Linked DNA regions of Callithrix jacchus. The protein of the gene in region 1 purifies or fractionates together with the protein of each later gene. This does not show direct contact. Links are inferred from orthologs where the notes say so. Each region holds a gene or a part of one and is shown on either strand. Other genes may lie near its edges.

Region 1 (3,652 bases):
GCCACACTACGAAATAATTAATTATCTAGGCAATGTTCAGTTCACCTATTTGGCAAGGCTCTCAGATCTTGTGAAATAATCTACGCAATTATCTGTACTATGGTATCTCTTATGCTATGAAAATAACACGTAATGTACGCAAATTAATAAGGCAGGAGATGTGAAAGTTACTAATTTAAATAATTTGTGAAGCCCAGGCATGGTGGCTCACGCCTGTCATTCCAGCACTTTGGGAGGGAGGCAGGTGGTGGTTAGGACTTTCGAGACCAGCCTTGCCAACAGTTTGAAAGAAACTCCATCTCTACCAAAAATTTTAAAATTAGCCAGGCATGGTGGCTCATGCCTGTAATCCCAGCTACTTGGGAGGCTGAGGCAGGAGAATCACTTGGACCCAGCCAGGAGAGGTTGCAGTGAGCCAAGATCGCACCACCGCACTCCAGACTTGGCGACACAGTGAGACTCTGTCAAAAATAAATAAATAATTTGTTAAAATATCACACTACTTCTTGCATTACAACCATTTTAAATTGTTTAAGACATAAGTCAAAGGAGAAAACGGGGATTTGAATATGATGAGAAATTAAATCTGAAGTGAGGCTATGCACTTAAAATATAGTAGCTTTGATCCATAAAGGCTACACACCCGGAACTTACATGTTAAAAAAAATCAATCCCAGCACTTTGGGAGGCCGAGGCGGGTGGATCACGAGGTCAACAGATCGAGACCATCCTGGTCAACATGGTGAAACCCCGTCTCTACTAAAAATTACAAAAAATTAGCTGGGCATGGTGGCGCGTGCCTGTAATCCCAGCTATTCAGGAGGCTGAGGCAGGAGAATTGCCTGAACCCAGGGGGCGGAGGTTGCGGTGAGCCGAGATCGTGCCATTGCACTCCAGCCTGGGTAACAAGAGCGAAAACTCCGTCTCAAAAAAAAAAAAAAAAAAATCGCACCAGCGGCTCCCACCTTACTGTAGGAGACAGGCTCACCAGTGGCAGGTTTCTTAATCCCAAAAGAAAACAGGGTGAGCGTGCCCTGACGCGATGATTTCAGCAGCGTGATGTGAACCTGAGACGTGGGGAAAGGTGCGAAGCAGGCTCTTCCAGAGCAACCAAGAAGAAATTTTAGAGCCCAACTATATTCCTTCTCAACAAAATACTTTCCCCAAAACCTCAAAGAAATGCAATGTCCTTCTTCAGTATTTCAGATACAAAGATAACTGAAGTAAGTTTAAAGGGGTATCTTGGTCAATGAAATGTACTGGAGTCTGAATACTTTAAAAATGAGCACTGAAAAGAGGTATTTTGAGTGCAGACATGGAAAAAGACGGCGTCCCTGGTCAGCCTTTTATGATTTGGTAAGTGTTATGCAGGTTGAAGCACTATGAACAAAGTACAGCTACTTCATCATCAGTTTAAATGAATACAAACATCAAACTTTCTCTCTGAAGGAAAGTGTAATTCCCCTAAAATACACTTTATAGCTCCTTTCAAATTATCCTAAATTAGTTGCTACAGTCTAAGAATAATGGAATGAAATGAACAATCTATTTATTAAGGACTTGCTGAAACCTATGATAGAACAAATGATATTTTTTGTTTTTTTTGAGACGGAGTTTGGCTCGTTACCCAGGCTGGAGTGCAATGGCACGATCTCAGCTCACCACAACCTCCGCCTCCTGGGTTCAGGCAATTCTCCTAAACAAATAATATTTTTAAGAATTTTTAAAATAATAGAGCAGTTCAGTACTCATTAATAATCATTTAAAATACACACACAATTTTGGCTTAAGTATTCATTCAATGAGTATGTCTTAGATGTCGAGTGATCACTTTAATTAGAAGTCCCCAGAGAAGAAAGCCGATTTCAAACAAAATGTTTAGCAATCCTAACAGCTGCAAATACTATAAAAGGATCATCTTACAGTTGCAATTGGTCCATCCACATGATAATCGAGGCTGAAGACATCCCACCCGGTGTCGCCTGGAGAGACCTAACAGAAACAAACACGTAACTGCAGACACATAACTGAGGACGTGTTGACTCAAAGAAACAGCAGTAAAAGAGCGCCCGATTGTTACAAATTGCTCAACAGTTCCGAGTGCATCTTCTTGTTAACGTCTATAACCTTACCAATTAGACAGCAATGAACACACAGTAGGTGCTCTGCAAACATCTGGCAACAAGCAAGGTATTTCTGAATGAATACTGTGGATACGTGTTTAAAATTCATTGTCATTTGCTTATGACAAAAGCCCACTGGAACTAAGTATGTTCCAAATCCTTAGCTATTCCAACATGACTCTTTGGACATTTTAAGAAAACCAATAGGTTTTGCTAATGATCTTTCATCACAACTAAGCAAATAGTGGGTTTATGTTTAAAATATCCATACCCTTAAGAAAAGTCACATCCTACCAAACTGAAACTAAAAACATCAATTTTCTGATAAATATCATTATATACCATGTCTTGTGCTCCTGTCAGATTCACTGTGAGAAGGAAGCACTATTTTCTAAGCATCTGCAATGTGCTACCAAGCACGGGGCAAGGGTGTCCTGCATTTTCTCCAACTTAAGCCCAGCAGCCCTGCAAGGCTCCCTGCTGTAAGATGAGCGCACAGAGGCACAGAGTGGAGTAGAGGGGGAGCTGGCCATGCAGTAACAAGGGAGAGTGGAATTCCTACTCAGGCTGCCCAGTTTCCAGAAACATAATGACCAGCTGTGCCTGAAGTAACATGGAAAGCACTCGCTACGACACCCCAGCCCAGGGGTCCTCAGGGCCGGGGCAGCGTTCCCAACACACGGGGCCACAGTAGTACCTCCAGCAGCCGCACGTCCAGCCTTCGCAGGATCTCAGGACTGTCAAACTGTGCGTTGGTGGCTCTGACCGCAGTTTCTAGAATCCCAGTCAGGTTATGCTGATATAAAGTCGTAGCTGGACGGACAAGTTCTGGTCTTAACAAATTTTTTAAAAATTAAAGAAAATATTACTTTAATTCTTAACTTTAAAAAAGCTTAAAAACTATAAAAATTAAGAGTTCAAATCATAACAACTCAAAAGAAAAATGGGACCAATACAATAATGTGGCAACGAAAGCCTCATGGCATTAACTGCAAACAGGGCTTACCAATTATTGTGGAGTTACATTTCTTTACAGTCTCAAAAATACTGGCCTGTAATCCCAGCACTTTGGGAGGCCGAGGTGGGTGGATCATCTGAGGTGAGGAGTTCAAGATTAGCCTGGCCAACACAGTGAAATCCTGTCTCTACTAAAAATACAATAATTAGCCAGTTGTGGTGGTGCACACCTATAATCCCAGCTACTAGGGAGGCTGAGGCAGGAGAATCACTTGAACCCAGGAGGCGGAGGTTGCAGTGAGCACCACTGCACTCCAGCCTGGGCAACAGAGTGAGACTCCATCTCCAAAAAAAAAAATGATTCTGATTCAGCTTAAACTGAAAGTACTTAGATGTGCTATGCTATACACATTAACAAAGTTTTCAAACTTCAGGCTGGCCTATGAGTTACATGAGCTGATATAATTTCCTTTTAGACCCGATGGTAGAAGGAGAGGTCTCCATCTCATCAGGGTATGTGGGTGTCATGATTCTAAAGGGCCAAGAACCACTACACTCTCAGCAAGCGTTTT
Region 2 (3,752 bases), on another chromosome or scaffold:
TCTTGCTAAATTAATAGGAATACAGTTTGCATGTCTTTGAAGCCTGGTTGTCTTGTCTTAGGGGATTCACCCCTCCCAGGAGCTGGCTATGCTGTGGGTCTCAGCCCCAGAGGACAGGGACAGCAGGTCCTACCTTGCCCAAAGGCAGCTCTGCCCAGAGCCTGCGTGGCGTTCTCAAAGCCCAGGGCCCGGCAGACGACGCTGGCATCAGTCAGATCCCACAGGCTGTCACACACAGTGCCCCACTGGCCTCTGTAGAAGATCTCCACACGACCCTCATTGGCAGTGGCCCCATCAGCCAGCCGCATGTCACCATCGTTCACGGCTGCAGGGAGAGACCAACAAGGGTGAGGCTGGAGCCTGCAGCGCCCCCCCCACGCGCCAACCTCTAGGGCCCCCACGCTGTCCTGGGACTCCCCTGCTGAGCTTGTTTTCCAGTGCTTCAAGGTCCCCCTGCCTCTCCGTGAGGGGCACCTCTGTGAGGGGGAGTGGAAGATACATACAGACCCCCTACATGGAGGCTAAACATGCCGTTCCTTGTTTTAGGGGTCTCAGCCCTTCACTCCATAGACAGAACGGGGCAGAGAAGCCCTGGGTTCTCCAGCACTGGGAGTGGAGGTGGCAGGACCCCGAGGGAAAGGCGGCTCCATGCTAACCCCTCCTGAGGGTGTCTGCAGTTTGCGGGTGCTGGCCTAGTGGGGACAGCAGGCCTAGGGACCCCTGGGAGCACAGGCAGAATACTTCCAGGGCAGAGAATGGGATTCCTACCCCACACATGACCTTCTGGGACTCTGCCCACTGACATTCGCCCCTACAGGAGCTGGCAGAGCCTGGTAGGAGCTGAATTCAGTTGGGGGCACGTCTGGCTTCTGTGGGGCCCCCAGGATGAGCATGAGTCTCCAGGGGCTCACAGGGTAAAGAATATGAGGAAAGGCAGCCAGGACCCTCTGGAAGCTTGACCTGCATCCAAGGCCATGGACCCCACAACACCCCGTGACTGCTGCTTTGATCAGCTCCTCTGGTTCCCTCTGGATGGAATGGAGAATTCCCTGGTGTCCTCTCTATAACCTGCAGCTCACCTGAGCCCAGGTGAGCCCCTGGAACCTCCAAGCCATGATCACTCAGGATACCGGAAGAGAGAAGATTCGGCTAACCACCGGGCCTCAGACCCCAGGCACAACCTCTTTTGGGCATTGTGCACAGACCCAGGGTGCAGCAGCCTCACAGACTTTTGCTTTTGGCATTTCCCAGGGACTCAGCTCACCTTGGGTCCCTGCAACCAGCAGCCACATCCAGAAGAGCCTCAGAGGGACCATGGCCTTGCCTGGACGCATGGATCCTGCTGTGGATGGAAGCGGTGGAGTGAGGCACCGGAGCCCGGTGGCCCGATGCCGGGGGACTGGCCTGCCCATCCACCCTTCAGCCCGACCTGGGCTGTGTGGCAGGCAGGGTACCTCTCCTGCAGAGCCCACTGTGGTCTTGGTAAGTGTGATGGACGCTGTGGTTGCCCCCACAGGGGCTCCTCACCTGGTCTGCAGCATGGTCCTGGAAAGATGTGTTAGACTTGGCTAGATGAAGGGGTGGGCTGGGGGTGGCCCCTGGCAGTAAGGACAGCAAGAATTGGTGACTGGAAGTGAGTGAGCCCATCTCAGAAAACCAGGTGCCGGGCAAGGCTGCCGCACAGGCATGGGGGAGGGTGGAGCGGGAGGAGGCCATGGGCGAGGGCCTTGGAAAAATGGCCAACTGGCCAGGTGCGATGGCTCATGCTGTAATCCCAGCACTCTGGGAGGCTGAGGTGGGTGGATCATTTCAGGTCAGGAGTTCGAGACCAGCCTGGCCAACATGGTAAAACCCCATCTCTAATAAAAATACCAAAAAAAAAAAAAAAAAAAAATAGCTGGGCACGGTGGTGTGAACCTGTAGTCCCAGCTACTCAGGAGGCTGAGGCAAGAGAATCGCTTAAACCTAGAAGGCAGAGGTTGCAGTGACCTGAGATCATACCACTGTACTCCAGCTTGGGTGACAGAGCAAGACTCTGTCTCAAAAAAAAAAAAAAGTGGACAATGAAGCACCAGGCAGGCACCATTGCTGCCCTTTGGGTGGCAGTGGCTGGGTATATTTCCCTGATTCTTTCATATGGAAAGTTGAGACCGGCTATCTGTGTTGACCCCTAGGGTGCCTTCATGTGAATTGAAAAAAAGGTACCCTTCGTTGGGGTGGGTGCAGGCCTAGGCTCAATGCACAGACCTGAGAGGGCCAAGCTGATTTCCAGCCCACTTGCCCCTTTGGCTGGTATCCTTGTGTAGTAAGCAATCTGCCCAACTGTACAGAGATGGGCCTGGGAGCAGCAAGGATAGCTCCAGGCCTATGTGCAAACAGGGAGGAGTGACCCCCATTTGCCTGTGTAGAGAGAGGGGTGCCCTGGCTGGGCACGGTGGCTCACACTTGTAATCCCAGCACTTTGGGAGGTCGAGGCGGGCAGATCATAAGGTCAGGGGTTCAAGACCAGCCTGGCCAACATAGTGAAACCCTGTGTCTACTAAAAATACAAAATTTAGCCAGGCATGGTGGCAGGCATCTATAATTCCAGCTACTCGGGAGGCTGAGGCAGGAGAATCTCTTGAACCTGGGAGACAGAGGCTGCAGTGAGCTGAGATCGCCCCACTGCATTCCAACCTGGGTAAAAAAGTGAGACCCTGTCTCAAAAAAAAAAAAAAGAGAGAGAGGCGGGGGTGCCCACCTGAGAGCTGGAGGCAGGAGCTTACCTGGCTGGAGCGGCTGTGATGGCTGTGCTGGAGCCTCCTTGCTTCCAGCTCCAGGAGCCCTCTGCAGACTGGTCCTTCGACCCAGAAGCCTCTCCCAGTATGGAGCGTGGTCAGGCTGATCCCAGGAAATGCTTCAGGAAACAGTCAAGTTTCGATTTCCAGAAACCATCTGACATAGATGCCTTCTGGGATTGGCTGCTGACGACACTCCCGGGGGCCCCTCTCTTTTGTCTCAGCTCTGCATGTGGGTGTCAGTGCCGGGATGGCAGAGGCCCAAGGCGGGAGTCTGGCTGGAGCAAGGCCCGAAAGAAGACTGACAGCCACAGTCAGTTGGAAACGCCTCCAGGCCGGCCAGGGGCTGGCGTTTGGGGGACAGGAGGGGAAGAAGCAGAGGCTGTGGGCCCAGACAGTTTGTTCCTGTGGGTGACAGAGCGCTCTGAGTCCTTTCCTGGGTCCAGCACATTGCTGGCTGGGTGGACACTGCACAGGTGGTTGCTCATGTGCAAATCCACCCTCTCCGAGCTCTTGGCATGCTCACCACACAGAGGGCCTGTTCCCTGCAACGCTGCGCGGTACTGTCCCCTGTCCCAGGGGAGGGAGGCCCTGAGAGCCAGGTGTGCAGCTGGCCAGTGGAGGAGCTGGACCCCGCTCCAGCACCTGACCCTAGACCCTGTGTTCACACTGCTGGACCTGTGGCTGCTCTCCTGTCTCCCCCTCAGCGGGGCGGGGGACAGAGCCTCTCTGGGGTGACATAATGGTTCTGTCCACTCATACCCATTCCTTTTCCCTACTCTGAGCACCCCTTCCCACTCCTGGCTGTGTGGTTCCCAGAGGGCACCCGGCTCTTGGCCTTCAACCACCCCAGGTCTGGCTGTCTGAGCCCTGAGGGGCCCTCCAGGCCACATGGATGGTTCCAGGGTGGAGCTGTGAGCCCAGCCAGCCCAGTGAGAGCTGGCTTCCGAGTGAGAGGATGTGGGCCCAGGCTGC
Region 3 (3,652 bases), on another chromosome or scaffold:
ATTAGGTAGATAACATACTGTACAATTTTTATTATAAAAATATACATATTTTTAAAGTGAAAACAGTGGTTGGTGTAAAATCCCATCACCCTTTTACTTTTACCTGAAAATAAAATCTCTTCCCTGGAGGCCATGAAAACAATACTGATTCTATGCAGTTCTGTGTTCCCAGAAACTTCCCAAATTACAGAACATTAAGGTATTCACTGAAATTTCAAAAGTGGGCCCGTAGTCTTTTGTTTTCTTCTCGTAGTCTTTCAATTTCAGCCACTAAACCTTCATTCACTGAGTATCTTTCCAGCAAAGAATGCATTTCATTCTAGAAAAAGGGTAAAATGCCTTTTAAATTACTGATATTTCACATTTATTTGGCAGTCTATGTTTTACATACTTTCAGCTATCATTTTGCTCATGTTCAATTAACTAAGTGAATGATATTTCTTGTACTTAACTCTTACTACTTTGTTAATATAAATGGAAGATCACTGGTAAAATTAATATATTTGGAAAATTTATATTTGCACATTTAAGATGCTTTTTGCTTACTCATCAGGAAGAAAGCCATGGGAAAAAGAAGCTTTAACTATCTCATAGGTCAAAAGGAGGTGACCAGTGAAAATCTATTTTACTTATTTAATGTCTAAAACACCCTATTTATTTTAAAAATTAAATAAAACAACTAAAATAGATCACCTTTAATGGATTTTTTAAAATTCACACAACTCTACTTTCATTTAAAATAACATTCGTCATACATACCAGTTGCATATGAAACTGTTTAATCATCTCCACTTGCAAATTCACAATGTCCCTATGGCATGCTTCTCTAGGAAGAATGTAAAATACATTTTAGAATTACAATAGTTTAACCAATTCTAATTCATTCAAGAAACTCAAAAAACTTTTTCATTTGCCAAATTACTGAATATTAATAATTATTATAATATAAAAATACCAATGCACTGAGCATTTATTTACTATGTGCTAGGTACTGTTTTACTTTAAATGTGAGAACTCATTTAAAACATCTTCACAAGTAGGTGCAATTATTACCTCTATTTTACCGAAGAAATAACTGAGCCACAGAGCAGTTATAACTTGTCCAAAATCACACAACCAGTAAATGATGAAGGTAGGATGTAAACTCAGGCTGTCTACCTACTGAATTCCCCCATACTATATTCTTTCATATAGAAATTGTCATTAAGACACAAACTTATATTACAATGAAATACGAAAAATTCACTAGGTTAGAAAGAGCATTTTATTATCAGTTTAGCTATTGAAAAAATGTACTTTCAGTAGAAAGTGGCAATTTGGGTGGTTATAGCATGGCTGACTCAATAAAATGCAATTAATTCATTCCTACAAAAGAACATATAAAAATTATGAAATATAATGATAAAAAAACACTCAGTCACCCACCATTCAACTTATGAACTAGAATGTCACCAAATCATAGAAGCTTCCTGTGTGTTCCTGATTCTCACTTAACTCTTGGTGGTAAGCCCAAGAAAGAAGTCATTACCCTCCTGAATTTTGTTGGACAAAAAAAGTTCTTTTTTAATATCCTTGTATAACATATAATCTGTAGTCAATGTTTTCATTGTTCTTGAGCATTTAAGCTTTACAAAAAAGGGTAACATATAGCTTATTTTTAAGGAAGAATTCAATATTGTTTTGAAGATTCATGTTCCATATATCTGTAATTCACTGGTTTGTATTGGTGTATCCATATTCCTGTTAAAATTTTGATTGTTTTAAAGTTTTTATTATTACAATGTCATAATCAATCATGTATTATCTCCCAACTCACATGGGCCAATGTCCATCGATGACATACACTCAAGAGTATACTCCCTTTTACAAAGTCATGCAAATTGTTTTTCAAAGGTAGTATCAATGGACATGTTCATCACCAGTATAACAGAGTTCTTCTTGCTCTATATCATCATCAAGACTTAGTATTACCAGATTTCTCATATTTTCCCATTGAATGGGAAATGGTATCTCATTGCATTTTTAGTTCTCTGATTATGAGGCTGAGTATATTTCTTGTTTTCATATACCATTCCTCTTCCTTGAAATGCTTTTCTTATTCATTTATAAGCATTATTTACATAATCTGATCCCTTTTTATATGAGAACTGCAGATATCTTCTTATCCCTTCACTCTGTGATATACTGTGATGAACAGTTGTTATTAATGTGCTCAAATATCCTAACCTAATCATGGCAGTCAACTTTACCAATGTACTTTGATAGGTAGTGCATTATTTTGCTTTAAATGATTTCCTACCATGAAGTTATAAACTCTTATGTCAACTTTATACGAAAAATCCAATGTCACAACACAATTTATTATTTCATATTTTGCACACAAATCTGCAGTGCTACCTCTCTATCATTTCCATATATGCATAGGTTTCTTTCCAGCTTATATGATTCCTCTGGCCAATATGTCCTCCCTGTGCCATGCTATATATCTTAATTACACTTTAATGATTAAGCACATTCATCTGACAAGTCCCCTTCAACCTTATTCTTCTCTGAAGTGTCTTGGTTATTCCTAGATTTTTTTTTCTTCCATACATATTTTGGAATCACCTCAACATCTTCTTCCAAATCCCAGCTGGGATTTTAATTGGAATTGCATTCAATCTACCGAACTACTTAGGTGAACTGATATCTTTATAAAATCTCTCCATTTATTTAAATGTTAATTCTTTTGAACAAAAAGTTTAAAAATGTTTTTCTACAAAAATCTTCACTACTTTGGTAGATTTATTCCCAGGTATCTTATTGTTTTTCTGTTGTAACAGCAAGGCTTTCTTAAAATTTTCCTCTTCTACTTTCAGTGATAGTAAAAACTGCATTAAAAACAAAAACACTGTATCAGGGAACCACCAAGGTAGCCAGGACGTCAAGAGCCATGGTCTTGCAAAGAAGGAAAGACTACTAGGTAAGCACTACATTTACCTCTGTTTTCCTTCTAGAGTATGTGCTGATTCCACAGTGTGGAGAAGAAACTGAGCTGAAGCAGTGGTCTGGAGGTTAAGATAGTCTCACTAGGTAGGGAGTATTAAGAGTTTGGGACTACCAAGGTAGCCAAGGCTGTAAGAGTCAAGATCTTGAAGAGGGGAGGCCTGCAGAAAAGCAAGCCTGAAACCGCAATTTCCCCTCGAGATGTCTGTTGATTTCTAAGCAATGCTCGCCCTGGGTTAGATGCCAAAAAGCAACCATAAAACAAGCAACTCAAGAGCAGAGAAAGTAATCTGGAAGTCTTGTGATGCTGGCAAAATAGAAGTTAAAGTTTAGGACCCACTAAGATAAAAAGAATACTCCAGACATTCAACTCATGTCCTAGAAGAGCAAAGACTACACACTAGGAGTAAAGGCAAATCAGAAACAAACTAGTGCTAAGAAAACCTGAAACCTAGTAACTACAGGATCACAGGGATCTGCTTACTGAAAGAAACTTACATCTTCTTAATGGACAACAGAAACAGACACACAGATTTCTACTTAGGATGTATTAGGTTGGTGCAAAAGTGTAATTTCTCAACTCTAAGAATGAAAACAAACCTGATAACCTATAAAATCATAATATTTTAAATTCAACTGAGAGCTTAAAATGGAAAGAAATCTACAT

The links.
Region 2: the proteins of TUBGCP3 (region 1) and LGALS3BP purify together in Homo sapiens (affinity purification with mass spectrometry; 4 studies listed by BioGRID and IntAct, counting the BioPlex papers as one, with this or other methods). This does not show direct contact. The link is inferred for Callithrix jacchus from reciprocal best matches to the Homo sapiens genes TUBGCP3 and LGALS3BP.
Region 3: the proteins of TUBGCP3 (region 1) and NEDD1 purify together in Homo sapiens (affinity purification with mass spectrometry; 3 studies listed by BioGRID and IntAct, with this or other methods). This does not show direct contact. The link is inferred for Callithrix jacchus from reciprocal best matches to the Homo sapiens genes TUBGCP3 and NEDD1.

Annotation. Positions count from the first base shown.
Region 1 is NC_133502.1:27,997,005-28,000,656, forward strand, and holds part of TUBGCP3 (gamma-tubulin complex component 3), read right to left. Parts: intron 2,957-3,652; coding exon 2,821-2,956; intron 1,993-2,820; coding exon 1,924-1,992; intron 1-1,923. UniProt on the Homo sapiens protein: Component of the gamma-tubulin ring complex (gTuRC) which mediates microtubule nucleation.
Region 2 is NC_133506.1:134,725,431-134,729,182, forward strand, and holds the start of LGALS3BP (galectin-3-binding protein), read right to left. Parts: upstream 2,867-3,752; 5' UTR 2,766-2,866; intron 1,343-2,765; exon of another isoform or gene 1,340-1,342; 5' UTR 1,335-1,339; coding exon 1,265-1,334; intron 326-1,264; coding exon 134-325; intron 1-133.
Region 3 is NC_133510.1:100,025,269-100,028,920, reverse strand, and holds part of NEDD1 (protein NEDD1), read right to left. Parts: intron 827-3,652; coding exon 760-826; intron 320-759; coding exon 215-319; 3' UTR 1-214. UniProt on the Homo sapiens protein: Required for mitosis progression. Promotes the nucleation of microtubules from the spindle.